Sus scrofa: one gene and its partners. The protein of the gene in region 1 purifies or fractionates together with the protein of each later gene. This does not show direct contact. Links are inferred from orthologs where the notes say so. Each region holds a gene or a part of one and is shown on either strand. Other genes may lie near its edges.

Region 1 (3,500 bases):
CGCAGTGAGTTAAGAATCTGGTGTCGGAGTTCCTGTCGTGGCTCAGTGGTTAACGAATCCAACTAGGAACCATGAGGTTGCGGGTTCCATCCCTGGCCTCTCTCAGAGGGTCAAGGATCCGGCGTTGCCGTGAGCTGTGGTGTAGATCGCAGACACCGTTTGGATCTGGTGTTGCTGGGGCTCTGGCACAGGCTGGCAGCCTACAACTCCCATTAGACCCCTAGCTTGGGAACCTCCATATGCCGTGGGTGCAGCCCTAGAAAAAACAAAAAACAAAACAAAAAAAAGAATCTGATGTCACTATAGCAGCTCAGGTCGCTGCTGTGGCACGGGTTCGATCCCCGGCTGGGGAACTGCCACATGCTGTGGGTGTGGCCAAAAAAAAAAGAGTCAGAGGAACTATAATCTAGTTAGTGCGGTGTGTGCCGCTTATTAGCTGTTTGACTTTTAGGCAAGTCATGTAATCTTGCTGAACTTTGATTCTCATTCCTGTCAGATGGAGAGTAATAATCTATCTTACTTCACAGGGCTATTGTGAAGCATTCAGTGAATATTTGTTGAGTTTTTAATTTAAAAGTTTGAAGGTAGTGGTTCCCAAAGGCAGATTGTAGTTAGGCTGGTTGCGTCATTGTCACAGGATAAACTTTAAAAAATAGAGGTGGCAGGGCCTCCTCAGGAGATCTGAATCAGTAACTTGGGAAGAAGCGAGGATAATCCTGAAATCTGAGGGTTTTTTTTTTTTAAGATTCCCTTGTGATTTCAATTGATACCCTTATATAGAAATTACCCTAAGGTATCAGTAATGAAATATATTATTCTTTGGGGACCCATGGAAAAATGTAGTGGAGGAAAACAATAGTCTTGAGGGAGAAAAATGAAGGAAAAATGATAATGAAGATTATCAATTCCTTTATAATTAAATAGTAGTTTTTCCAGGTTTTTTTTTTTTTTTTTTTTTTTTTTTTTTTTTTTTGTCTTTTTGCCATTTTTTGGGCCGCTCCCGGGGCAGCTAGGGGTCGAATCGCAGCTGTAGGCTGCCAGCCTATGCCAGAGCCCCAGCAGTGCAGGATCCAAGCCGTGTCTGCGACCTACACCACAGCTCATGGCAACGCCGGATCGTTAACCCACTGAGCAAGGGCAGGGATCGAACCCGCAACCTCATGGTTCCTAGTCAGATTCATTAACCACTGTGCCGCCATGGGAACTCCAGTTTTTCACAATTCGTTTTGTGCCAGGTAGTTGGTGATAATGAAGGATATGATAATTACGGCCACTATAATGACTTCTTGCTTGATGAATACCTGTTTCATTTTACTTATTTTTTCTCAACGTCCTGATGAAGTAGGCATTTGTTATTTATTTATTTATTTATGAAGTAGGCTTTTTTTTTTTTTTTCCCACTGTACAGCAAGGGGGTCAGGTTATCTTTACATGTATACATTGCAATTACAGTTTTTCCCCCACTCTTTCTTCTGTTGCAACAGAAGTAGGCATTTTTTATTCTCATCTTGTAAATGGTGAAACATGCTCAGGGAGGGTAAATACATTATCTAGGGTCACATAACTAGCACGTGGTGGGCCTGGTTTTTAACTTAGGTTTCTCTGACTTCAAAACCCAAACTGTTTCCTTTATGCTATACCTTATAAGGATTATATTTATGATTTTTCTCATCTTAAGCCCTAGGTTCTGTCTCTTGCATACTTTGCTTCTGTTGGAGAAGTTAGTTTTTCTTCTCTTTATTTTTGCAGATGAACTCGAGATGCTTTCTGAAGCTAGAGCCCGCCTGGCTAATACTCAGGGAAAGAAAGCCAAGAGGAAAGCACGAGAGAAACAGTTGGAAGAGGCAAGGTATGGTTGCTTCCATCCATAGTTGAACAATTAGGCTGTGTATCCTTAGGCTCAGTAAAATTGCATGATTTATCAACCTCATTAGGTGAGTGATAAGTAGAATTGTTCACTTCCAGTTTTCTAATAGTCTTTAGTGTCTTTGTTACTTTGGAAGCCTTAAATATTTTCTCCTAACCATTTCAGAATAGTTATAGAAACAATATGTATTTTAAAAAAGTTTTGTAAAATGTGGCAGAAGCAGTGCCCAGATACAGACATGCATTTATGTGCAGGTGTACACGCGCGTGCATGGGCACTCTCTCTCTCTCAGTGTGTTTAATTAATTTTGTTAGCATAAAATAGCTTCATTTGTTCTAGCCTCTTGGCCTCAGATGCCTAGAGGACACACAGGGCTCTGGGACTTTGGCGCGACTGCCAGGGAGTTACTCTCCTTGATTAGTGTTGGACAGGCACTGACACCAGCTGTGAAACAGGAAACTCGGCTGAACACAGAGGGAGTTAATGAGCCCTGAACTGGATTTTAGGCTGTCATAGAAATTTCTATTTAAAAAATGAGTGGAGTTACATTTTGCCCTCGACTCAAGGTTGTCTCCATTTTCCCCTTCCTTTTGATTAGATCTATGATTGACATTATGCCTAATGGCCTAGAAACCAAGGTGAAGTGGATAAAGAGAAAACCTGAACTTTCTAAGAGCTTATTAGCTTTGGAATTCAGGCAGGAATAACCTTCAACTCCAGAATTTCTATTTGGTTCTTTTTAATCATTTCTATCTTTCACCGATTTTCTCTTTTTAATGAATGTTTTCAACCTACCTTCCTTCTTTAATCATGGCTTCCTTTTATTCTTTGAACATACTTCTGCCCCTTTGAAGTCTTGTCTGTTAAATCTGACATCTGGTTGCTCTCAGGTGTTGCCTCCTTGTTTTCTGGTGTGTGGGTCATACTTTCCTGCTGTTTCTTTGCATGTCTTACCTTTTTTTTTTGGGAACTGGATGCTTTGGATGCTCCATCGTAGGAATTCTGTGTACGTGTCCCCCGCATCCCCTCTTGGTTAGTGTTATTTCTAGTTTACTTGTTTTGCGACCAGCAGGGTTATTTTAGTGAAGTCTGTCCTCCCCTTCCCTCCTCCCACAATGGGAATCCTCTGATCTTGCTCCTTGTGGGGATGGTCTTGGGTGTGACCAGTCACTTGGGATGATGTGGTTTTGATAGGACTTTCTTTGACATCTTTCCCCTTGGCTATGCACAGCTGTTAAACTCTGCTAATTGTCAGCTTATTGCTGTATTGTTTTCAACAATATCTTGGGGCATAAGTTGCTCCACAAAGTGATCCCTTCATTGGCTCCTTTGAAGGGATTGTTTCTGAGGTGAAGGTTTGATATTTGTTCTGACCCCGGAAGGGCTTCCCCCACTTTTCAAAAGAGAAAGAGTCTCTCTGGCAAACTAGTGGGTCTGCAGTTTAGCCAGTATCACCAGTGAATGAATCTATCAGTTTCTTCCCAACTGCCTTTCACCATAGCTTCCACTGTTTTTTTTTTTTTTTTTGTCTCCCCATGGCATGTGGAGTTCCCTGCCGGGGTTCAGATCCAAGCCACAGTTGAGACTTACAGTGCAGCTGAGGCAGTGCCACATCCTTAACCCACTATGCTGG
Region 2 (4,255 bases), on another chromosome or scaffold:
GGCAGGAGTGGGAGGAGAGAAGCAGCTGTGCCCTGAACAACTCGGAGGAGCAGAACTCCGGGAAGGAGGCATGAGCCGACTTGGACCAGAGGCAAGGCGGCAGAAGGCGGGACTCAATGACTTTTGGGAGAGGCGACCATCGAGGGGAGCGGGGAGCTCTGAACAGAGACTGCCTCCAGGAGGCGGTAAAGCGAGATTCTCTGTCTCCCGGAAGTGCCCGCTGCGTGGCTAGCAGCGTCGGCGCGGTTGGGGGGGGGAACGCTCGCTTGTGTGGTTGCCACGGCAACCGCAAGGGGGCGGCCTTGCTCAACGGTCGGGAATGTAGTCCCTTCCCTGGAGGAAGGAAATCTCGCGCACGCGCGCTCGGGCTGTGGCCCCGACGACCCGCCCCCCCTCTCCGAACAGTGAGAGGTCTCGGTTCAGACCGATCTCTACGCAGGCGCAGAGGCTCTCTCGCGCTCGCCCCTTCCACTTTGCGCATGCGCACAAAGCCGCGCTGGCAACCTCCGCAGCAGCCGCGCGCACTCTTCACTCCGCTGGCTGCTTTTGTCTCGCGAAACCTTCTTAGGCGCTTCTCAACATCGGTCCTTCTTTTCCTCCCATCGCCCCACAGGGAGAGCCGGGTGCTGAGAGCCGAGACCCTGCCTCTTCTTTTCCTTTCCCCTGACCCACCTCGCCTCTGTCCTCCCTCCCTTTTTGGTTCCCGGAGCCGGAAGGAGCCGAAGCGCCCACGGAAAAAGCCGAAGGTGTCTGCTGTGAGTCCTTCCCCAGGCGGTGGCGGAAGGAGCCGAAGTTCTCCGAAAGGGGGAGGAGGTTGCTCTTGGAATCTCCGGAAAGAGCCGAAGTTTGGAAACGGGTTTAATCTCTGGTTGGGCCCGAGGGGGAGCGCCAGAGACCTTCGGAAAGTGCCGAAATCCGGGACGGTTAGGATTGTCGGAAGTGGCCGATTGCTTGGACAGGGCCGTTGGGAAAGAGAGGGTAGAATCCGTGGAAGCAGCCAAAGACGGACGGTTTGAGTTCTTGGAAGAAGCTGAATTCTAAGTGGGGAGTCTGGGTGCTAGGAATGCGAGGACCTACGGAAACATCCGAACGTTGAAGAGCTACTATCCGAAAAGTTACGAAAACCTGAGAAGCCTGCGAAACCCTCGCTTCGGGTGTTTTCGGAAGCAGCCGAAGTCGCCTCTCCCTTCGCTCCTCCACGGTCCGGAAATAGCCGACGCGTTTCGGAGCCAGGCCCTGGGGGGAGGTGCGCCTCGTGGGCGGGCCGGCGGGGAGAGGGGCGGAGCCGGGGCGGGGCTGGGCGGGCGGCAGGGGCTTGATTAGGTAGGAGGCGGTGGAACGCCGGCGGCGGCCGGAAGTAGCCGAAGCAAGCGGCGGAAGTAGCCGAAGCGGCCGGATCGGGCGCGCGGCAAGGCGAGGCGAGAGCTACACAGGGCCCTACGCGGCCGCCTCAGCATGTCGGACTTCGACGAGTTCGAGCGGCAGCTCAACGAGAATAAGCAAGGTGAGGGCGCCGGGGGTGCGGGGCGGCGGGCGGGGCGGCTCTCGGCTTCCCCCTGTGTCCCCCGCCATTTTCCCCCTCGCTTCCCCCCCTTAGGCCCGCACGGCGCCCCCCCACCCCGCGGTGCGCGCCTTACTCACGTGACCGCCCGGCGTGCCGCCGCGCGGGAGGGGAGGGGGCGGCGGGCGCATGCGCGCCGCGTTCGGTTCCGCGCCCCACGTGGCCCCCGGCGCGGGTGGCGCGGGCGCCGCAGGCTGTCGGGAGTCCGTTGCGGACTTATTTTCTATTTTTTTAATTTGGAAAGGAGATTATGTAGATTGGGTCCCGCAACCCCTCCTTTTCTCCCGATGCCCTCGCACTTCCGCTTCCGGCCGGGCCCGCGGCCGGTGTCTCCACGCCCCCTTTGTTCCAAAATGGCGGTTGGAGCCCCCCTTCACGTGGGCGCATGCAGGGCCGCGGTGTGGGCCCTTCTCGCACCGCCGCCCTTCGCGCCTTTCCTGGGGGCTAGTCGCCGGGGTCCCTTCCAGCCTAACGTGGGTGATGCGGTGTCTCCTGGGAGAGGTCCGCACTGTGCGTTTTCAGTGTTCCTCCCGCACGCGGTTCTCCCTCGCGCCGTCGCGCCAGGCACAGTGTGGCGTGTCTGCCCCCCATATCTCCTCAGTTAGACAGGTCCCCTGTTCTGTACGAGCCCACCCTCCGGGCGCCGCGTGTGTCCGCCTTTTCAACGTGGCGATAAAGAGACAGGCTCGGAGCGAGTAGGGAGACTTAGCTCAGTTGGGAGGATGGGAGGCAAAGTCCCTCCGGTGATGCGGAGTCCAAGTAGGAGGCCGAGCTAGTGCCGACTAGTTTGGACACCCCACGAATGTTAGAACAAACTTAGGCCTGGAGGAGGTGGCGAGCGCGAGGCCTAAGCTCCTTGTGGTCAGAGGACTGCACAGGGGGCGGGGGGCGCTGGGGTTCCCCTTTCAGCCCAGTCTGCAGTTGGGAGCAGGTGGCTGGTTTAGGAGGAGACAGCGCCTGGGGAAGACGAAGTCGGGTTTCGGAGTGCCCACGGGGTGTCTGTACACGTTGTAACGCTTCACAGCACAGGCTTTGGAGGGGAGGAGACTTGGCTTCTAGTACCTGCTTTGTTGCTAAGTAGTTGTGGAACTTTAACACGTCTATGCTTTTTTTTTTTTTTTTTAATCCTTTTCTTGTGTGTAGTGGCTGTTAAATAGGTATGTGTCTTTATTACCGGTTTCTGGAGTCAATGGTGATGGCAGTACTGATAGTGCTTTGCTAAGCTTTTACACGGCTTATTTAAGTAGATGGTCAACAGCCGTGGGGGACTGACATGACTTCCTTTCCTTTGCAGAGGAGGAAGCAGGCTCAGAAAGCTTGAAAAACTTTCTTTGGTTTTAGCTGGTGAGAGTTGCAGCTGAGGTTAAGTGAGGTAATGTGTGTACAGTGTGTGGCATACGGTCTGGCATTCGTTAAGTGCCTAACGAGGAGTATTGTGAAATGATCCCTAGTGAAATTTCTTAGGAAGGTAATGGAGAGGCTGCCCTGAGCTGCCTCAGAGGTGGTGTCAGAGTTGGGACAGCAGGGAGAGGTGCTTTCCCAGCGTCATTATCCCATGTCCCACACTTGGGGCGGGATGAGCGTCGTTTAAAAGACCGGGAACACTGAGGTTGGAAGGTACGGTTGCTGTTTTGTGGTTTTATGCAGTTGGTAGACAGAAGAGCTGAAGCTGATCCTGAGTCTGGCTGCAAAACCACGTGCCCCTAGGCTGGACTGCTAGATGGAACTGAATGAACCTTCCTTGGGGCACTTGCACACGTGCTGCTTGGTTTCTCTTGGGTGTCCCCACTGGTACTGGCACGTCCCTTGGGCTGGTGGAGTTGTTCCCACAACAAAGTGATCACAGCGTTTTGAGTAACCACAGCTGCCTTTCCTTCCTGACCTGTTTGGGTTGAGGCAGGGAACCTACTGTTGCTTTAAGGGGAAGCTTTGCCCTAGTATCGTTGTGCCTGTGGGTCTTTGTCTCTGTGGTCCAAGCCTCCTCCAAGCCTCAGTCCCTGCCTTGTGCACCTGTGTCTCCAGGGAATTAATTTCCTTGTCTGTGTCTCAGGCACCCAGCAGGCGCCACTTCTTCCTCTGTGTCTGTTCCTCTCTGCCTGCTTGTCTGTTTCAGAACCAAAGCCACAAAAGACGCTGTTTTTATAGTTGGCCCATCTTTCAAGAGTGGAGCCAGAGGCCCAGAGCCTCAGGCCAGCACACCTCTGGGCCCTCAGTGTCATGCTTACCTGCTACTTCATGCTACTTGCCTCCTGGTTCCAGGCTTGGATTTGTTTTTCGTGTTCAGTCTGTGTCTTCAAGGAGGTAACCGCTTGTCTTTAGGGGCTCCCGCCAGACCCTGGAGTGTTCTGGCTGCCCCATGTTGAGTATTGCCTAGTGCTTAACTGCACTTGTGGGCATTTCAGTGTTCACAACTTCCTTGCTTTTTGGCCAGGGGCAAGTCACATGACCTCCCTGAGCCTCAGTTTTCCCATCTGTCAGGTGAGCCTCTAGCAGTGTCTCCCCAAGGTAACAAGATTAAGTTCAAGTAGAGCTAGCACAGGATCTAGTCTTAGGTACCATTGCAGTGTTGGCTGGAATTTTTTTTTCTGTTTTCCAAGGTGCGTGTTTTTCTGTCTTTTAGTGGTTCTGGAGTTTGAGTTCACTTGTGAAAAGTTTTATGTTTAATTGCATCAGAAAAACATGTGAGGCAAAAGC
Region 3 (3,500 bases), on another chromosome or scaffold:
CCTGGCTTGGGGTGTGAATCTTCCTGCACATACTGTCATCATCAAAGGCACGCAGGTGTACAGTCCAGAGAAGGGGCGCTGGACAGAGCTGGGGGCCCTGGACATTCTGCAGGTATGGAGCTTTTGAGTGGGGACGAGTATGCTATATGTAAAATGCCAGGATGCCCAGAGGATGACAGGTGGAAGGTGAGGTTCTAAAGGTAGAAGCCTGGGATCCAGCCCCGAAGCTCTGTGACCACAGCCCTCTTGCTGCTCTCTGACCCAGATGCTGGGACGTGCGGGACGACCTCAGTATGATACCAAGGGCGAAGGCATCCTCATCACTTCACATGGGGAGCTGCAATACTACCTGTCCCTCCTCAATCAGCAGCTGCCTATTGAGAGCCAGATGGTTGCAAAGCTGCCTGACATGCTCAACGCGGAAATCGTGCTGGGGAATGTCCAGAACGCAAAGGTAGGGGAGGCCCCTTTCCCTGGCGCCTCGTGCCGTCTTCAGAGAGGCCTGGGTTCTGGGAGTGTGGTGATCTTGTGCGTGGTGCTGTGGGCCACCAGCACGTGGGGTCCTCCAACCCTGGGCCTCACGTCTCCTATGTAAGCAGGTTCTCATAAGCTGCTTAGGACTCTTTTTTTTTGAAGGGGGGCGGCGTGCTAAAAGCATGTGGAAGTTCCTGGGCTAGGAATTGAATCCACACCACAGCAGTGACCCGACCTGCTGCAGTGACAATGCCGGCTCCTTAACCTGCTGTGCCATAAGGGAACTCTCAGACTCATGTTTTTTTTTGTTGTTGTTGTTGCTATTTCTTGGGCCGCTCCCACGGCATATGGAGGTTCCCAGGCTAGGGGTTGAATCGGAGCTGTAGCCACCGGCCTACGCCAGAGCCACAGCAACGCAGGATCCGAGCCACGTCTGCAATCTACACCACAGCTCACGGCAATGCCGGATCGTTAACCCACTGAGCAAGGGCAGGGACCGAACCCGCAACCTCATGGTTCCTAGTCGGATTCGTTAACCACTGCGCCACGACGGGAACTCCTCATGTTTTTTAATAATGAAGTATTATAGGAGTTCCTGTTGTGGCTCAGCGGTTAACGAATCTAACCAGTATCCATGAGGATGCAGGTTCGATCCCTGGCCTCGCTCAGTAGGTTAAGGATCCGGCATTGCCGTGAGCTGTGGTGTAGGTCACAGACATAGCTTGGATCCCACATGGCTGTGGCTGTGGAGCAGGCTGGCAGCTACAGCTTAATTTTACCCCTAGCCTGGGAACCTCCATATCCCATGGGTGTGGCCCTAAAAAGCAGAAAAAAAAAAAAAGTATTGTAAATGTTCATAAGACAGCATAATACATGTTCTAATAGGAATTAATTTCCAAGTGTACCCTGGGAGCTTTTCACTGAGACATCAGCCCTCTGTGCTAAGACCCATGATCTGTCTCTTACAGGATGCAGTGAACTGGCTGGGCTATGCCTACCTGTACATCCGAATGCTTCGATCCCCAACCCTCTATGGCATTTCTCATGATGACCTCAAGGGAGACCCCCTGCTGGACCAGCGCCGACTGGACCTGGTTCATACTGCTGCCTTGATGCTGGATAAGAACAATCTGGTCAAGTATGACAAGAAGACGGGCAACTTCCAGGTGAGGGGCTGAGGGCTGGAGGCAAAGATCCCAGCAAAAGTTGTGGCCCCTGGAGACAGTTTTTTAGGTGCTGTCTTTTTTTCTTTTTTCTTTTTTGTCTTTTTTTGCTATTTCTTGGGCTGCTCCCGCGGCATATGGAGGTTCCCAGGCTAGGGGTCGAATCGGAGCTGTAGCCGCCGGCCTCCGCCAGAGCCACAGCAACGTGGGATCTGAGCCGCGTCTGCAACCTACACCACAGCTCACGGCAACGCCGGATCGTTAACCCACTGAGCAAGGGCAGGGACCGAACCCGCAACCTCATGGTTCCTAGTCAGATTCGTTAACCACTGTAGGTGCTTTCTTGATTTGAGTATTACCTGTCTTAATTGCCTGTTGCTTGGGACAGTCGAAAATAAGGTGGCATTGGCCTATGCCCTCTGAACCTAGGAACTTATAAGATGGCATTAAATCTGGCAGTGCTTCCTTTCCGTATCTTGAGCTGTGGTAGCTGAGTCAGCTCTCTTTTCTATGTGGGCATCACTTCCCTGTAGGTCAGTTTATCATGCCATCTCTGTTCACGTGTGTGGCCCAGGGGCTGGTTCTCTGTGTTCATCAGTGGGCACCTCTCGTCTGCGATGAGAGGTTGCCATTTGTCGGTGATCAGTGTTGGATTGAGTCTCCCTTCTTCGTAGGTGACGGAACTGGGCCGTATAGCCAGCCACTACTACATCACCAATGATACAGTGCAGACCTACAACCAGCTGCTCAAGCCCACCCTGAGTGAGATTGAGCTTTTCAGAGTCTTCTCATTGTCCTCAGAGTTCAAGAACATCACTGTGAGAGAGGTGGGTCCACACGGCATGTTGGGAACAGAAGTTGGTACTTACAGCCATGTCACTGGAGGGTTCTCTCCGTGGCCTCCTGGCCTTTCCTTGAGCTGTTTCCTTCTTGTGGTAGGAGGAGAAGCTGGAGCTGCAGAAGTTGCTGGAGAGGGTGCCCATCCCTGTAAAGGAGAGCATCGAGGAACCCAGCGCAAAGGTGAGTCCAGTTCCCCCGCTGGGGATAAGGAACAGGTGGTTTTCCTCATCTTCTAAAAGATGAACCTTGATTTTGGGCTTGGACTTGGTAAGCTGCTTGGTTGTCCTGGTTTCTGCATCCTTCTCATGTGTTCTTTTTACAGGAAGTAACGATTACTTAATGTCTTTCAATCGAGAGCTCTAGAGGGTCTCATCTGGCATGGGTGCCCACAGCAGAAATGCGATTCACTGTCTGGGGCGGTTCAGTGATGGGCCTCCTTCTGGCCAATTTTGATTTTTTTCCAGATCAACGTGCTTCTCCAAGCTTTCATCTCACAGCTGAAGTTGGAGGGCTTTGCTCTGATGGCCGACATGGTGTACGTTACCCAGGTGAGGGCAGGGCGGTGCCTCCTGTGGTGAGTTCCTCTCCTGTGTGCTCTGTCTGCGGTGAACAGTGAGGGAGAGGGGATGCTGAGCCTTCCCTCGATGGCTCGCTGGTGGGTGCACGTGTGCTGTAGCTGCTCTGTCGCACTGATGTTGAGTGTGTGGGAAGGTAAGGCCTTGAGAGGGATGCTGGGGAGGCTCCAGGGGACACAGTGTCTGCTCCCTGCAGAGAAGGCCTTCCCACTGTGGCTGCTGGGCTCATAAATAAACCCAGAAATGGCCAAAGGCTTTATTAGCTCCTCTTTGTCTTTACCTCTCAGGCTAAGTCAGTCCCTAAGACCCTTACTCTTGCTAGAACCCTAAATGCTAAATGAGCTAAAGGCTGTAAAGTCATGCAGTGAGCGGTAGTTGGAAGGCTGTGCTGTGAGCTCGAGCTGCATTTCTCTAACTGTCCTGCGTTCAGTGAGCATCTACTGTTAGT
Region 4 (4,300 bases), on another chromosome or scaffold:
CCTTTTAGAACTGAAAACATGACCTTCTGAAAAATCTTTTTAAGGCACTTTGGATCTTGAATATACTGTTTCCTTCTTTACTGTGACTGCCATGATGACTAGGGTCAAATTTGTAATCCATCTTTAGAACTCACAAATTTTTACTGCAGCCATTTTGTGTATTAACTTTATCCATGACTTCATTTTAATTTCCCCTTATATTCTCCGTGATTTCTCCATTCAATTGCAATAACGTTTTCTGGTATCTCTGTAAACAGCATCACATCACTGGGGAGAGGGATTGATGCGAATAAATAAAAATGAAGAAAATCATCCTCTCAATCAGGGTGCAGACCTGTTTCAGCATATTTATGACAGGGTTTTTTTTTTAATTTGAATTCACCATTAATATTTTAAAATCCCAGTATTTCATATAAAAATCCAGATTTCAGATGGCTCCGTGGCAAAATGTAACAAGTTCTTATCTCCCTGGACCAACATGCTGGCGAGATGAGTCCTTAAGCCGCCACTTCGGTCTCCAGTGGTCACAGAAATCCTCACACATCCACTTTGCTCATTCATATTACCTGAGAGATTTGCTAATGAGTTCCAAAAAAGGAAGGAACGTCAGGATTCTGCAATACAAACAGGAGGGCGCGCGTCTTTTTCGTTCTTTGAAAGACGTTGTAGAAATAACAGACACAATTCATTCTGCAAACCTTCACTGGACCTCTCCGCTGCGCTGGGCCCTGGCGATAGGTGATTTAAAAAAGAAGCAGAGGTCTGGGTCCTGGTTGGCTGATGCCGCCAGGAATTACCGCCACGAGCACAAGGAGCGTTGAACTGAGGTCAGTTCTGAACCGAAGGTGGAACGGTACTTAGCGTAGAATATTTATTAAAGCGTCTCAGCCAGGTTCCCCTGCATTAGACAGTCGTCCAAGCAGTCCACGGCCCGTTCGCAGATGGGGCGGGAAGACAAAGTCACGTCTCGGCTCCGCGTTGATTCACCCGCAACGCGACTCCTGAACGAGGTGCACTCTCCAAGGATGCCCGTGTTTCCGGAGCAACCGCCTGGTCCCTCCCCCTTTGACTCCGCCCCCGGCAGTCTTTCCCGCCAAAGGCCGTTAACAGCGCAGAGCATGGTGGGACCTAGCTTTAGGCTAGGTTTCACCAAATACTTTCAAGACGCCGTTTTTTTGAGAGAAACATTCCTGAGGAAACTGCTGATTCTTTAGGATTCGACAGAGATTAATAACCCCTTTTACGAGAGCTCTATATTTAATTTTGCCACAAGGCTGGTCACTCCCTTATTAAACCCCTCGACAAATCGGGAAGGCGGGAACTTTTTTCCCTTCGCGCGGAGGGTGACGTCGCGCTTGCGCGAGCGTCACTCTCGCAGCACCCGTTACGCTCTTGCGCGTGCGTAGTGAGATCGAATAGCTGCTTCCTCCCGCTTCTCTTCCTCCCTCCCCCCCATATCCGTGCGCCGAGCTGATAAAGGCGCCATTTTGGAGGGGCCGCGGGAGACGTGGTGTCGCTGCGGGCTCGCTCTCCCGCTCGCTAGGCTTGGTGGGAAGGCCTGTTCTCGAGTCCGCGCTTTTCGTCGCCGCCATGTCGGGAGGTGGTGTGATCCGTGGCCCGGCAGGGAACAACGATTGCCGCATCTACGTGGGTAACTTACCTCCAGACATCCGAACCAAGGACATTGAGGACGTGTTCTACAAATACGGTGCTATCCGCGACATCGACCTGAAGAATCGCCGCGGAGGACCGCCCTTCGCCTTCGTTGAGTTCGAGGACCCGCGGTGAGGCGGCCAGGGGCTTGCGGCCTTGAGGAAATAGGTTGGAGTAGTTGGGGAAGGCTCCGGGGCCTTCACTTGGGGAATGGGGCGGTGGGTTCTTGGGTTGGGGGCCAGACGATATCGCCCATGCAGGAGTCGAGTAAGGAGCCGAGTCGGCGTGGCTCCTCTGGTGGCCGGGCCCCACGGACGTCCCTAGAGCCGACTCGCAGGCTCGGAGCGGGAAACTGAGGCGCCGAGGGCTGCTGGAGTGGTCGGGAGCCTGGCGTGCTTCTGGGTGGGGGAGGGGCCGTTCCTATTATGCGGCGCATGTGGGCTCTTCCACCCCGGTGCGCATGTGCGGGGGCCCGCTCGCTCCCCGGCGGAGTGAGCCGCCCCTCCTGGCCCTTTTTTTTTTTTTTTCTTCTTTTCCTTACCCCTTGGCTTTCTCTGGTCACGCAGAGACGCAGAAGACGCGGTGTATGGTCGCGACGGCTATGATTACGATGGATACCGTCTGCGGGTGGAGTTTCCTCGAAGCGGCCGTGGTACCGGCCGAGGCGGCGGCGGGGGTGGTGGCGGCGGGGCTCCCCGAGGGCGCTATGGCCCCCCATCCAGGCGTTCTGAAAACAGAGTGGTTGTCTCTGGTGAGTTGGCGGGTCCGTGCGGATTGATGATAAGGGGACCGCACACCGTTTTGAAGTTTTTCTTGGTGTTTTCATGCCAGGTCTTCACTTAAACCGGAGTGCCTTGGGTGACTTTAGTTAACAAGGACTACTCTATTTGAGACTTAGCGAATTAGGTTGCAGTACCTAGAAGATAAGAAGAGCCTTAACTTTACAAATAATTTTGGACTCTTGATTCCGAACTCTTTTAACAGCTCGTTAAACGGGATGTTAAAGACCGTTGGTTTTAAGTCTTGTTTTAATGTAACCTTTATGTTTAATGTGAAACTTAGGATAATTGGTATTGAAAGAAAACGCACTTTTTCAGGACTGCCTCCAAGTGGAAGCTGGCAGGATTTGAAGGATCACATGCGTGAAGCAGGTGATGTATGTTATGCTGATGTTTACCGAGATGGCACTGGTGTCGTGGAGTTTGTACGGAAAGAAGATATGACCTATGCAGTTCGAAAACTGGATAACACTAAGTTTAGATCTCATGAGGTAGGTTATATTCTTTTCCTTGGCCAGAATTGGATACAGTGGTCTTAACAGTGGAATTTGAAGGTAAGATTCAGGCAAGGGTGTCCAAGTAAAAACCCAGTAAAGTGCCAGATTTCTGGTTTGAGTTACGTTGATTCATTCAGCATGCCTGAAGACAGGTGAAAGCTTAGATCTTTCAATCGAAAGTTCTGTCTATCCAATAGGGAGAAACTGCCTACATCCGGGTTAAAGTTGATGGGCCCAGAAGTCCAAGTTATGGAAGATCTCGATCTCGAAGCCGTAGTCGTAGCAGAAGCCGTAGCAGAAGCAACAGCAGGAGTCGCAGTTATTCCCCAAGGAGAAGCAGAGGATCACCACGCTATTCTCCCCGTCATAGCAGATCTCGCTCTCGTACATAAGATGATTGGTGACACTTTTTTGTAGAACCCATGTTGTATACAGTTTTCCTTTATTCAGTACAATCTTTTCATTTTTTAATTCAAAACTGTTTTTGTTCAGAGTGGGCTAAAGTGTTGAATTGCATTCTTGTGTAATATCCCCTTGCTCCTAACATCTACATTCCCCTCATGTCTGATAAATTGTATTTTAAGTGATGTCATAGACAGGATTGTTTAAATTTAGTTAACTCTCCATGCTCTTCAGACTGTGATACTGTGTAAATGTCTATTCTGCTCTGGTTTGTGTGAACTGGGATGTTGGGGGTGTTGGTGGTTATCTTACCTGGGGAAGTTCTTATGTTTATCTTGCTTTTCATGTGTCTTTCTGTAGACATATCTGAAGAGATGGATTAAGAATGCTTTGGATTAAGGATTGTGGAGCACATTTCAATCATTTTAGGATTGTCAAAAGGAGGATTGAGGAGGATCAGATCAATAATGGAGGCAATGGTATGACTCCAAGTGCTATTGTCACAGATGAAATTGGCAGTATTGACCTTATACTAAAAGGCAAGGGTTTAAAGTGATTATATACATCTATCTTAAAACACTTGAAAACATTTTATGCAGTTATATTTGGCTACAATTGCTTTACTCTTTAAAACTCTGGCAATTGTGGCAAAATTACATGGCCCATTTTGTAACAATTTGTTTTGCTCCCTTCCCTTTTTTGTTTTATTAGGGACTAATGTGGGAAGAACTGATTAATTTGTCACAGTGCTTAGTTACAACTGTTAATGTGTGACCTGCTGTTGGTGTACTTGTGGGTACAGGGTGTCTTTAATTCCAACCAGATAGAGTATAATATCAATACTGCTAAATCTGCATGTCCTCTGTGTGACTGATATAATAGCGTTGCTACTTCATTTTTTTAAGACAAAATGAAAGCAAAATAATAGAATTCCAATTTATTGGTGTAGATAATCTAGTTGGGAATACT
Region 5 (3,500 bases), on another chromosome or scaffold:
CCTGAGTTTGATCCCTGGCTTGCACAGCAGAATAAACTCCCAATGGTGAGATGGTATAGACCTGGGTGGCCGCCAGCACCTGTGAGCAACCCCCTCCCTCCCACTCAGGTGTGTATTTAAACGTGCTGCAGCATCTCAGGACCTCAGGGGTCAGATGGTTGTGGAGCACAGCCTCCTGGGGTCCACGGAATCCCTCACCTTGGGGTCTCACTTGGGTGGTTCCGCTCTTAGGGGACACTGGGCCAGCTCCGGGCATCCAGTGTTGGGGGCTCCTGGGCTACTCTAAATGCCGTGGTGCCTAGGTTGGCCCTACATGTCCACAGTGCTGTGTGTGGGGGGGACCTGTCCACCAACAGATAACTGTTGGTCTTCGCTGCCTGTGGTTGCAACGTTATTAACTCACATTGGGCCTCTGAGGCTTCACCACTGGCAATCCCACAGGCCTCTGCCTAAGTAAAGCTTCCTGTGGTAAAAACCCTTCAAACATGGGGCTACCAACAGAAAATGGTCTATGGGGGATAGCGAGAGCTGCTGTTCTAGGTCAAGTGCCCTGGTTCAGAGCAGGACCTTGAGGCCAGAGAAAATGGTGGGCAGGGCTACGGGGCCAGGGAGTACCTTGTTGATGTCGATGGTTTCCAGGGCCAGCTGCCGCAGGCGCTCCCTGCGATCCCGGTTGCTCTCAGAGGAGGAGGCCACACCCCCGCTCCCGGTCTTGCCGCCGGGGCGATGTTGGAAGTCCATGGCGAGGGCCCTGGGGGTTTACCAGACCAGGGGAGAAACCTGCCGAGGCCAAGGCCAAGGCAGCCATGAGGCTGCTGCATGTGAGACCTCGCCCTCCTGGGTTCAGACTCACCCCCACTCTGCACTCTCTCTGCCCTGCCAGCCCCTGGGCCACCAGAAGACTGGGCTGAGGGCCCACGATGAGCCATGTGCACAGAAATGAGGAATAAGGATGCCTGAGGAATGCAAAGGCCCAGAGACCCGAAGTGTTAACGGGGAAGGTGAGGCCAAGTTCTTACTTGTCTCACCTTTTCCAAGAAGCCTTCCCAGACTGCCCTAGCCCATAGTGTTCACTCCCTCCTCGTGGCTCCCTTTCTGCTTATCTACACTTTTTTTTTTTTTTTTGGCTTTTTGCTTCTCAGGGCCACACCTGCAGCATATGGAGATTCCCAGGCCAAGGGGTCAAATCAGAGCTGCCAGCTGCCAGCCTATGACGCCACAGCCAGAGCAACACAGGATCCAAGCTGCATCTGCGACCCACACCACAGCTCACACCGACATCCTCATGGATACTAGTCAAGTCCTTAACCTGCTGAAACACAGTGGGAACGGCTACACTCAATTTCCACAACCTAAATTCTTATTTTATTTTCTTTAGGGCCGCACCTGTGGCATGTGGAGGTTCTCAGGCTAGGGGATGAACTGGGAGTTGTAGCTGCCGGCCTAGGCCATAGCCACAGCAACATGGGCTCTGAGCCATGTCTGTTACCTACACCACAGCTCACAGCAATGCTGGATCCTTAACCCACTGAGTGAGGCCTGGATCGAACCTGTGTCCTCGTGGATACTAGTCAGATTTGTTTCCACTGAGCCACGATGGAAACTCCCTAAATTCTACTTCTCTGGCTCAGCTGTGCATTTGTTGGAGAGAAGGAACAAGTCTACTTACCTGCCCCCTCCCCCCACTGCCTAATGCACAAGAGATGTTTAAGATTTGTTCGCACCTGAGGAGGGCTTTCTGGAGAAAAATACTGAGTTTCTCCTCCACATCCTCGTCAGCCAGGCCCACTGCCCATTTTCCACACTTTCAGGCTCAGACCCAACCTCCAGGCACCTTTCTCTCATCTTACACTGTCCTTGGCTGGCCAGTGCTGGCCTCAGGGCCCCCTGATTTATTTATTTTTTTAAATTTTTTTATTTTTTATTTTTTTTGTCTTTTTGTTATTTCTTGGGCCGCTCCCACGGCATATGGAGGTTCCCAGGCTAGGGGCTGAATTGGAGCTGTAGCCACCGGCCTACGCCAGAGCCACAGCAACGCGGGATCCGAGCCGAGTCTGCAACCTACACCACAGCTCATGGCAACACCAGATCGTTAACCCCCTGGGCAGGGCAGGGACCGAACCCGCAACCTCATGGTTCCTAGTCGGATTCGTTAACCACTGAGCCACGACGGGAACTCCAGGGCCCCCTGATTTAAACTGGTGCTATCATGTCTCTGTTGGGGTAGGTTCCCAGGGATGAGGCCCAGGAGTGAATAAAACCCTCCAGAGACATCCCCATCCCAACCCCAGGGTGCCTGGATGAGCCACCTCATGTGGCAAGGGAGACAGTGCAGATGGGGTTAAGGCCCCTGATTTGGTGGTGATCTTGGATTCCCCGGGGGACCCAGTGTTGTTACAGGGTCTTCATAAGAGGGAGGCGGGAGGGTCAGAGGCAGAGAAAGATGGGAGATGCCATGCTGATGACTGAGGATGGAGGAAGGGGCAGGGATGCAGTGCTTCTGGAAGCTGGAAAAGGAGGAACCAACTCTCTCCTGGAGCCTCTGGAAGGCATAAAGCTCAGTGCGACTTCTGCTAAACTTGTGGTCTCCAGAGCTACATTTTTAAGTCCTGTCGTTTAAGCCACCAAGTCTGTGGTGGCTCACTGCATCGGCCACAGGAGACTAGTGCTCCGGGCACAGGCCAGCTGTACCATCTCCCTGCAGTGCAACTGATGAATTAACAGAAACCTCACATCTGGTGACCAGTGGGGTGATCTTTCAGTTGGCTGCAGAATTAACAGGGCTAGACTTTTTATTCATACAAGTCCAGCCAGGGCCTCTAACTTGTGAATCCTGTAAAGCAAGGTATGAAAGACAACAGCCATCAACCATCACCATCATCTCATAAAACAGTGACCACAAGCCTGTACTGCCCACCACGCTCAGGGCGACACTCAGGGAAGAGCACACCCAGGCGGCCTCCAGCCAGGGACTGATCACACCCGAGGGGAGGCCCTGCATCCGAGTGGCCCTGGGCCCAGCTTCAGCACCAACTCCCTGGCAAGTCAGCGCTTCACTCTCTCAGAAACTGGGATGAAGGGCCTCTTGGCAATGAGGCAGGTACAGTGGCCCTAGGGAAGCTGCGGTGAAGCCAGGCTGAACAGATGGCAAGTCCATTCAAACCTACCTACTGAACAACAGGCAGCCCCCACCCCACTGTGACCAGAAGGCAGGAGTCCCTGGTCCAGAGGAGATCAGGAGTCTTTTCTGGGAAAAGAGTGCCAGAGAAAGTATTCTTAGACTGACGGTTGGGGGCCTGCACCAGCTCCAAAACCTAGCACCTTGCCAGGCCCACTGAGTTCACTAGTTGAAAAGCACTACTTCTTTTTTTTTTTTTGTCTTTTTGCCATTTCTTGGGCCGCTCCCATGGCATATGGAGGTTCCCAGGTTAGGGGTCTAATCAGAGCTGTAGCTGCCAGCCTACGCCAGAGCCACAGCAACGCAGATCCGAGCCGCGTCT
Region 6 (4,170 bases), on another chromosome or scaffold:
ATGCAGGCATCTACTCCCTTCCTCAGTCTCCACATTCAACGATAACAACATTCATCAAGCACAGAGTAGGTTCCATAGACTTTTCTAAGCAATTTAAGCATGTTAACTCTATAACCGTTTCAGAGCCCTATGGGGGTAAAGTGCTATAATCCACATTTTACAGATATCAAAACTGAGGAGGAGTTCCTGCTGTGGCTCAGCCGGTTAAGAACCCAACTAATATCCACGAGGATAAGGGTTCAATTCTTGGCCTCGAGGTCAGTGGGTTAAAGAATCGGGCGTTGCCAAAAGCTGTGACATAGGTTGCAGATATGGCTCGGATCTGGCATGGCTGTGGCTGTGGTGTAGGCCGGGAGCTGCAGTTGTGATTTGACCCCTAGCCTGGGAACCTTTTTATTCTGCAGGTGTGGGCCTAAAAAGACCTAAAAAACAAAAACAAAAACAAAAAACAAAACTGAGGAATGGAGACCTGAACTGGCCCAGAGACATCACTTTAAAAGGAGTGCCAGGGAGTTCCCATTGTGGCTCAATGGAAACAAATCTAACTGGTAACCATGAGGACACAGGTTGGATTACTGGCTTCCTCAGTGGGTTAAGGATCCAGTGTTGCCGTGAGCTGTGGTGTAGGTCACAGATGTGGCTCGGATATGGCACTGTGGTGGCTGTGGCGTAGGCAGGCAGCTACAGCTCCGATTTGACCCATAGCCTGGGAACCTCCATATGCCTCAGGTGTGGCCCTAAAAAGACCAAAAAAAAAAAAAAAAAAAAAAGATAAAAGGAGTGCTAGCACCATCAGCCCTTCTGTGACATGAGCTTGCTGGATCCCCTCTGTTCTATTCCCCTGCCACATATAGGTCAGGCCCTCAACTTTTTTTTTGTCTTTTTTGTCCTTTTTAAAAAGAGCCGCACCCGTGGCATATGGAGGTTCCCAGGCCAGGGGTCCAATCTGAGTTGTTGCTTCCAGTCTATGCCAGAGTCACAGCAACACCAGATCCAAGCCACGTCTGCAACCTACACCAGAGCTCGTGGCAACACCGGATCATTAACCCACTGAGCAAGGCCAGGGATGGAACCAGCAACCTCATGGTTCCTAGTCGGATTGTTTCCGCTGTGCCACGACAGGAACGCCAACATTTTTCGAATAATATGACCAACCTATCCTCCTAGCGATTCTCCACATTACTGTCTACCTGAATTTTGTGAAACACAAATGTCACTATCCAGCTTCCTTTTCTCCCAATAGCCTACTAGAAAAGTTCAAAGCCCCAGAAATACATCTCTTCACCACCAATTTCCCCAATTCTATGCTTTAACCTTTACACCCATCAGAGGTCCCATCAGTTCCTAGCTAGGTATCTTTGCACTTATCTGGTATTACCTTCTTTATTTTTACCAAGTTACTGGGAAAATGTTAGGGATACATAGGTGATTGCACTGATCAGCATAAAATATGTGCTCAATAAATGTTTGGTGAATGAATAAAGAATGGAATTTCCCTTCCCAATCCCCTATATAGTGAATTACCAATTCATCCTTCTAAACACAATTTACCTCTCACTCCCATGGGCTTCATCTATCTTAATCTCTCCTCTATCCCACCAAAGCAATGTTGATCAGAATTAATGTCTCCTTTGCACTTGATACTTATATCACACTGCAATTATCTATACACATCTTTCCTCCTTAGCTGATTAAGATGTTTAAAGGCTGGCTGGAACTGTATCATTTAAGGTGATTGAGGCAATAAACACTTATTGAGTATTCACTTATATCTGTCTCCCCACTAGTTCCCTAAAGCAGGAGTTGTGCTTCATTCATTAAGGTAAAGACAAAGCCTGGTACAGTATCTAGCTTAAAGGAAGCACAAAGGAGATGCTGAGAATTTAACAAAGTGGCACCATGCAGGCTGGGAAATTAAGGATTCCTGTCAAAGGCTTGTGGGGGCCAGTGGGCCCAATTACTGCAGAAGACCAGTGGATGCGCTGGATTAGTGATTCTCAAACTTCAGTGAATCACCTTTGGGTCTTGTTACAATGCAGATTCTGGAGTTCCCATTGTGGCTCAGTGGTTAACGAATCTGACTAGCATACATGAGGACGCATGTTCGATCCCTGGCCCTGCTCAGCGGGTTAAGGATCCAGCGTTGCCTTGAGCTGTGGTAGAGGTTGCAGATGAGGACTGGATCCTGCCTTGCTGTGCCTGTGGTAAAGGCTTGCAGCTACAGGTCCGATTAGACCCCTAGCCTGGGAACGTCCATATGCCACGGGTGCGGCCCTAAAAAGCCAAAAAAAAAAAAATGCAGATTCTGATTTAGAAGAAGTGGAAACTCAGCATTTCTAATAAGCTCCCAGGCGATGCTACACTTTCCACGGACTACACTTTGAAAACCACTGTTCCAAGCAGGCTTGTTTCGCTACTAGAAGGCAGGCGGGAAGCGCGCTGCCTCCTGGGACTTGGAGTTCCTCCAAGCCCTCCTAAACGGCTGCTACTTCCTCCGCGAGTGAGAAGCGCCCGCGCCGGAGGGGAGGGCTCAGGCCTAGGCTCAGTTGCCGGTGGAGATGCGGGGGTGGCTGTACCTGTTTGGGCTCGGTGGCCGCGGGCGGCGGTGGAGGCACCGCCTGCACGGGTCCGGCGGGCATGACGGCGACGCTCAGGGCTGCCAGTCCGCCTGGGCGTAAGTGAGCAGTGAGGCGTCAAAGCGGTTTCCCCGCACGGACTATGACACAAGCCCGCAAGATGGCGGCGGCGACTCGCCTGTCGCCGCCGAGGGGAAGAGGCTGACGTACTTCCGGGCACGCCCATCCCCGTGACGTAATTTCCCGCCCCTCCCCTTACGGGAGCAGCCAGCTCCCGACGCTGTTGCCATGGCAGCGGTCGAGGAACCAGGCTAGGGTTTGCTGAGGCTCCCACAAGCTACAGTCGCTCCGGGGGGGCAGTTCCATGAGCGGAGCAGACACGGGCTGAGGCTGCGACTCCAGAGACTGGTGAGACGTTTTACATTCCCCTTCCGACGTCCTCTCACGCCCCCCACGGCCCTGGCCCCCCTCTCCTTTACCAGAGTATTCCTCTCCCTCTGACCCTCGCTTTCCAAGGCCCCCGCTCCCTCTCTTTGGCCTCCCATTTGGCCAAAACCTCGTCCCCCAGCCTCTTTTTGCTTCAGGCCACCACCTCCTTCCCAAATATCAATCCCTAATTCCCTCTGGTACTATTTCCCTCTGGTCTTGCCTTTTCCAGGTTCCACCCCTGCCTTCCATAGTTAGGCCTTGAAATTCCGTGGACTAGCTCAAATCTGGCCGCCTTCTTTAGGCTCAACCTCTCACGCCCGGAGGTTTGTGCCTGTGAAATCTCTTCCCTCACTCCCCACTCCTCCCTCCGTCACTTCCAATCCCGCCCTTTTCGCTTCCTTTCCTGAGACCCTCTCTTCCCTCTTAACTCTGTAATGTGGCTCTCTCTGAACCCTTGCTTTCAATTTCTTCACCTATGAAATGGGGGAGTGATAGGAAAGGATACCCTCCCAATTCTCCTCCCCGCCTTTCTTCCTTATTTACACACCATAGTTGGTTTATGTCATTGTTATTATTAATGTAGAATGATAATGTTTGCTAGGGCTTTTTGAACATATACCATGGGTCAGACCCTGTGCCCAACACTACATGCATTACATTACATTACATTATTTCTTTCTTTCTTTCTTTTTTTTTTTTTTTTTTTTTTTGTCTTTTTGCCTTTTCTAGGGCCACTCCCATAGCATATGGAGGTTCCCAGGCTAGGGGTCTAATCAGAGCTGTAGCCACTGGCCTACACCAGAGCCACAGCAACGAGGGATCCGAGCCGCGTCTGCAACCTACACCACAGCTCATGGCAACACCAGATTCTTAACCCACTGAGCAAGGCCAGGGATCAAACCTGCAACCTCATGGTTCTTATTCAGATTACTCCTACATTACTTTATTTCTTATAGCAACTTATTTATGGATGAGGACAGTGAGGTTCACATCCTCAATTCACATAGCACAGTACGAATCCAAACCCAGGCCATTCTTACTCCTCTGCAAGTGCAATCAGTTACTTCTTTGTCTACACTGGAATTCCTTCAGTATCTCCTGGGACCCGGGCAGTTAGCAATCCTGAGTCAGACTGACACTGCCACATAAATGGTTTTAGAGTTTC
Region 7 (2,275 bases), on another chromosome or scaffold:
CCAGGTGACAGAAAATGATAATTAAGCCACTTATTCTACACAAACCAATACTTGATCAAAGTTCCGCATTTTACAAGTCATGTTTAAAAAACACACACAAGTTATTAGCATTTTGTACACAAATGTTTATTTCTCAATTAAACATTCCCTTTAAACATAAGGAATGAATTCTAAATCTTCATAAAGATGAATTACAAATGAAATCCCTCCAGTATAATGTGTGTATCACTGTGTTCTTGGTCACTACTGGCGTTTACTGTTTACATCAAAAACAAAGACAGGTTATTTAAAAAATCATGCTACTGGATTTCTAGCTCTTCTTCTATGACCAGTTCTACGCTGATCTGCAATGTTTAAAAGTTTACATCACCAAATCGAAGCAAGTTTAAGTTGTGAAACAGCTGTGCATTAAACACAAAATTTAACAATAAAGTTATAAGATATAGTCAAGTTCATAACGAATATAAGTATTCTTATCATCATTGTAGATTCTTGGGTAATGTGCTATGAGAGCATCCTGTGAACCAATGTAGATGGAGTTGTAAATTTTCCAGTACACATCTCTGACTTTCCGGGCTGGGTGAAACAAACCCTGGAATAATTAAAAACGTTGCATTATTTCAAGAAATACATAACTTTAGCATAACTAACAAACTAACCATATATATGGCTGTAAACATTTCCCTTTAGAGGGGGAAAAACCTAACAACTGCACAAAATTGCAGTAGGAAAGGACAATATCTAATCCTCCTTCCCCAGATAACCGTTTTCCCAAAGGGCACATCCCGTTGATAATTAGGAACAGTAAATTAATTCAACTAAATTATTTTTTTCAACAAGCACACTTTAAAAAATCTGTAACCTACCTGTAAACAATACTGCAGCATTCTACATGGTCCAATAGCAACTCTCAGACCCTCCAGGGCCCCCATAACTGCCTGAATTACATGGGGAGAGGTCTCAAACACATTGGGCCATACATAGTTCAACAAGTGATTCAGCGAATCTTCACAACCAAATCCATAAACCCCAAGTGACATGTGTTGCACCACCGCACTAGCCGTCTGTCTATGTACAAGGTCCCTGAAATGGAAGGGGAAAAATGCTCTGTGTTAAGATACAGTCTTAGTTTTACAGAAAATACCTGCCTGTCCATTGAAACTAAATCACAAATTCACTGCATAGAATGGATTGAGAGTCATCCTCACACGGTATGTATGTGATGTAGAATGCTTTTATAGAGACTAATTGAGACTTTTGCTGTAATAACTCAAACCTCACTATGGCTCAAAAACAAACCACATTTATTTTGCTTTGGAAGTAATGAGCTAAGAAAGCTCGGTGCAATGTACATTTTTGTATGCTACTAAAAGGGTTATATGACTGTACATACAAGTGATTAACAGTAATATCTCATTTTAAACTGTAACTTTATTTATTTATTTATTTATTTAGTATTTTAGGGCCGCCCCTGTGGCATATGGAGGTTCCCAGGCTAGGGGTCAAATCAGAGCTACAGCTGCTGGCCTACACCACAGCCACAGCAACATGGGATCTGAGCCATGTCTGTGACCTACACTAATGCTCACTCAATGCCAGATCCTTTACCCACTGAGAGGCCAGGGATTGAACCTGCATCCTCATGGATAGTAGTCAGATTTGTTTCTGTTGAGCCACAATGGGAACTCCAAAACATCATAAATTTAAAATCTTCTAAAGTATTTCAAGTATTTCAATATCGGCATACAATAGATAACTAAATTGAGATTAAGCCCCTTTCCTTATAAAAAAAATTTTAAGTTTCATTCTCAACTTGGGGAAAGGAATAGAAGGACCAGTAATTCTCTCTCTCTTTTTTTTTTTTTTTTTTTGTCTTTTTGCTATTTCTTGGGCCGCTCCCACGGCATATGGAGGTTCCCAGGCTAGGGGTCCAGTCGGAGCTGTAGCCACCGGCCTACGCCAGAGCCACAACAATGCGGGATCCGAGCCTCCGCGTCTGCAATCTACACGATCTACACCACAGCTCACGGCAACGCCGGATCGTTAACCCACTGAGCAAGGGCAGGGACTGAACCCGCAACCTCATGGTTCCTAGTCGGATTCATTAACCACTGCGCCACGACGGGAACTCCCAAAACATAAATTTTTTATTTCTGCCACACCTATATATAGCATGTAAAGTTCTGGGGCCAGGGATTGCACCCTCGACATAGCAATGAAAATACCAGATCCTTATTAACCCACTGTGCCACTCAGGGAACTCCACAGAACATAA

Evidence for each region.
Region 2: the proteins of CDC5L (region 1) and U2AF2 purify together in Homo sapiens (affinity purification with mass spectrometry; 5 studies listed by BioGRID and IntAct, with this or other methods). This does not show direct contact. The link is inferred for Sus scrofa from reciprocal best matches to the Homo sapiens genes CDC5L and U2AF2.
Region 3: the proteins of CDC5L (region 1) and SNRNP200 fractionate together in Homo sapiens (co-fractionation; 4 studies listed by BioGRID and IntAct, with this or other methods). This does not show direct contact. The link is inferred for Sus scrofa from reciprocal best matches to the Homo sapiens genes CDC5L and SNRNP200.
Region 4: the proteins of CDC5L (region 1) and SRSF1 purify together in Homo sapiens (affinity purification with mass spectrometry; 4 studies listed by BioGRID and IntAct, with this or other methods). This does not show direct contact. The link is inferred for Sus scrofa from reciprocal best matches to the Homo sapiens genes CDC5L and SRSF1.
Region 5: the proteins of CDC5L (region 1) and SF3A2 purify together in Homo sapiens (affinity purification with mass spectrometry; 3 studies listed by BioGRID and IntAct, with this or other methods). This does not show direct contact. The link is inferred for Sus scrofa from reciprocal best matches to the Homo sapiens genes CDC5L and SF3A2.
Region 6: the proteins of CDC5L (region 1) and SF3A1 purify together in Homo sapiens (affinity purification with mass spectrometry; 3 studies listed by BioGRID and IntAct, with this or other methods). This does not show direct contact. The link is inferred for Sus scrofa from reciprocal best matches to the Homo sapiens genes CDC5L and SF3A1.
Region 7: the proteins of CDC5L (region 1) and SF3B1 purify together in Homo sapiens (affinity purification with mass spectrometry; 5 studies listed by BioGRID and IntAct, with this or other methods). This does not show direct contact. The link is inferred for Sus scrofa from reciprocal best matches to the Homo sapiens genes CDC5L and SF3B1.

The regions. Positions count from the first base shown.
Region 1 is NC_010449.5:39,390,897-39,394,396, forward strand, and holds part of CDC5L (cell division cycle 5-like protein), read left to right. Parts: intron 1-1,749; coding exon 1,750-1,849; intron 1,850-3,500.
Region 2 is NC_010448.4:59,772,735-59,776,989, forward strand, and holds the start of U2AF2 (U2 small nuclear RNA auxiliary factor 2), read left to right. Parts: upstream 1-1,455; coding exon 1,456-1,504; intron 1,505-4,255. UniProt on the Homo sapiens protein: Plays a role in pre-mRNA splicing and 3'-end processing. By recruiting PRPF19 and the PRP19C/Prp19 complex/NTC/Nineteen complex to the RNA polymerase II C-terminal domain (CTD), and thereby pre-mRNA, may couple transcription to splicing.
Region 3 is NC_010445.4:46,946,066-46,949,565, forward strand, and holds part of SNRNP200 (U5 small nuclear ribonucleoprotein 200 kDa helicase), read left to right. Parts: coding exon 1-112; intron 113-265; coding exon 266-454; intron 455-1,442; coding exon 1,443-1,640; intron 1,641-2,311; coding exon 2,312-2,464; intron 2,465-2,576; coding exon 2,577-2,657; intron 2,658-2,941; coding exon 2,942-3,025; intron 3,026-3,500. UniProt on the Homo sapiens protein: Catalyzes the ATP-dependent unwinding of U4/U6 RNA duplices, an essential step in the assembly of a catalytically active spliceosome. Plays a role in pre-mRNA splicing as a core component of precatalytic, catalytic and postcatalytic spliceosomal complexes.
Region 4 is NC_010454.4:34,279,319-34,283,618, reverse strand, and holds the start of SRSF1 (serine/arginine-rich splicing factor 1), read left to right. Parts: upstream 1-1,500; 5' UTR 1,501-1,590; coding exon 1,591-1,784; exon of another isoform or gene 1,785-2,211; intron 2,212-2,219; coding exon 2,220-2,404; intron 2,405-2,750; coding exon 2,751-2,923; intron 2,924-3,126; coding exon 3,127-3,321; 3' UTR 3,322-4,300. UniProt on the Homo sapiens protein: Plays a role in preventing exon skipping, ensuring the accuracy of splicing and regulating alternative splicing.
Region 5 is NC_010444.4:76,407,882-76,411,381, reverse strand, and holds part of SF3A2 (splicing factor 3A subunit 2), read right to left. Parts: intron 1,310-3,500; exon of another isoform or gene 1,151-1,309; intron 781-1,150; 5' UTR 742-780; coding exon 616-741; intron 1-615. UniProt on the Homo sapiens protein: Component of the 17S U2 SnRNP complex of the spliceosome, a large ribonucleoprotein complex that removes introns from transcribed pre-mRNAs.
Region 6 is NC_010456.5:47,332,649-47,336,818, forward strand, and holds the start of SF3A1 (splicing factor 3A subunit 1), read right to left. Parts: upstream 2,801-4,170; 5' UTR 2,640-2,800; coding exon 2,577-2,639; intron 1-2,576. UniProt on the Homo sapiens protein: Component of the 17S U2 SnRNP complex of the spliceosome, a large ribonucleoprotein complex that removes introns from transcribed pre-mRNAs.
Region 7 is NC_010457.5:101,276,744-101,279,018, forward strand, and holds part of SF3B1 (splicing factor 3B subunit 1), read right to left. Parts: intron 1,084-2,275; coding exon 867-1,083; intron 593-866; coding exon 434-592; 3' UTR 1-433. UniProt on the Homo sapiens protein: Component of the 17S U2 SnRNP complex of the spliceosome, a large ribonucleoprotein complex that removes introns from transcribed pre-mRNAs.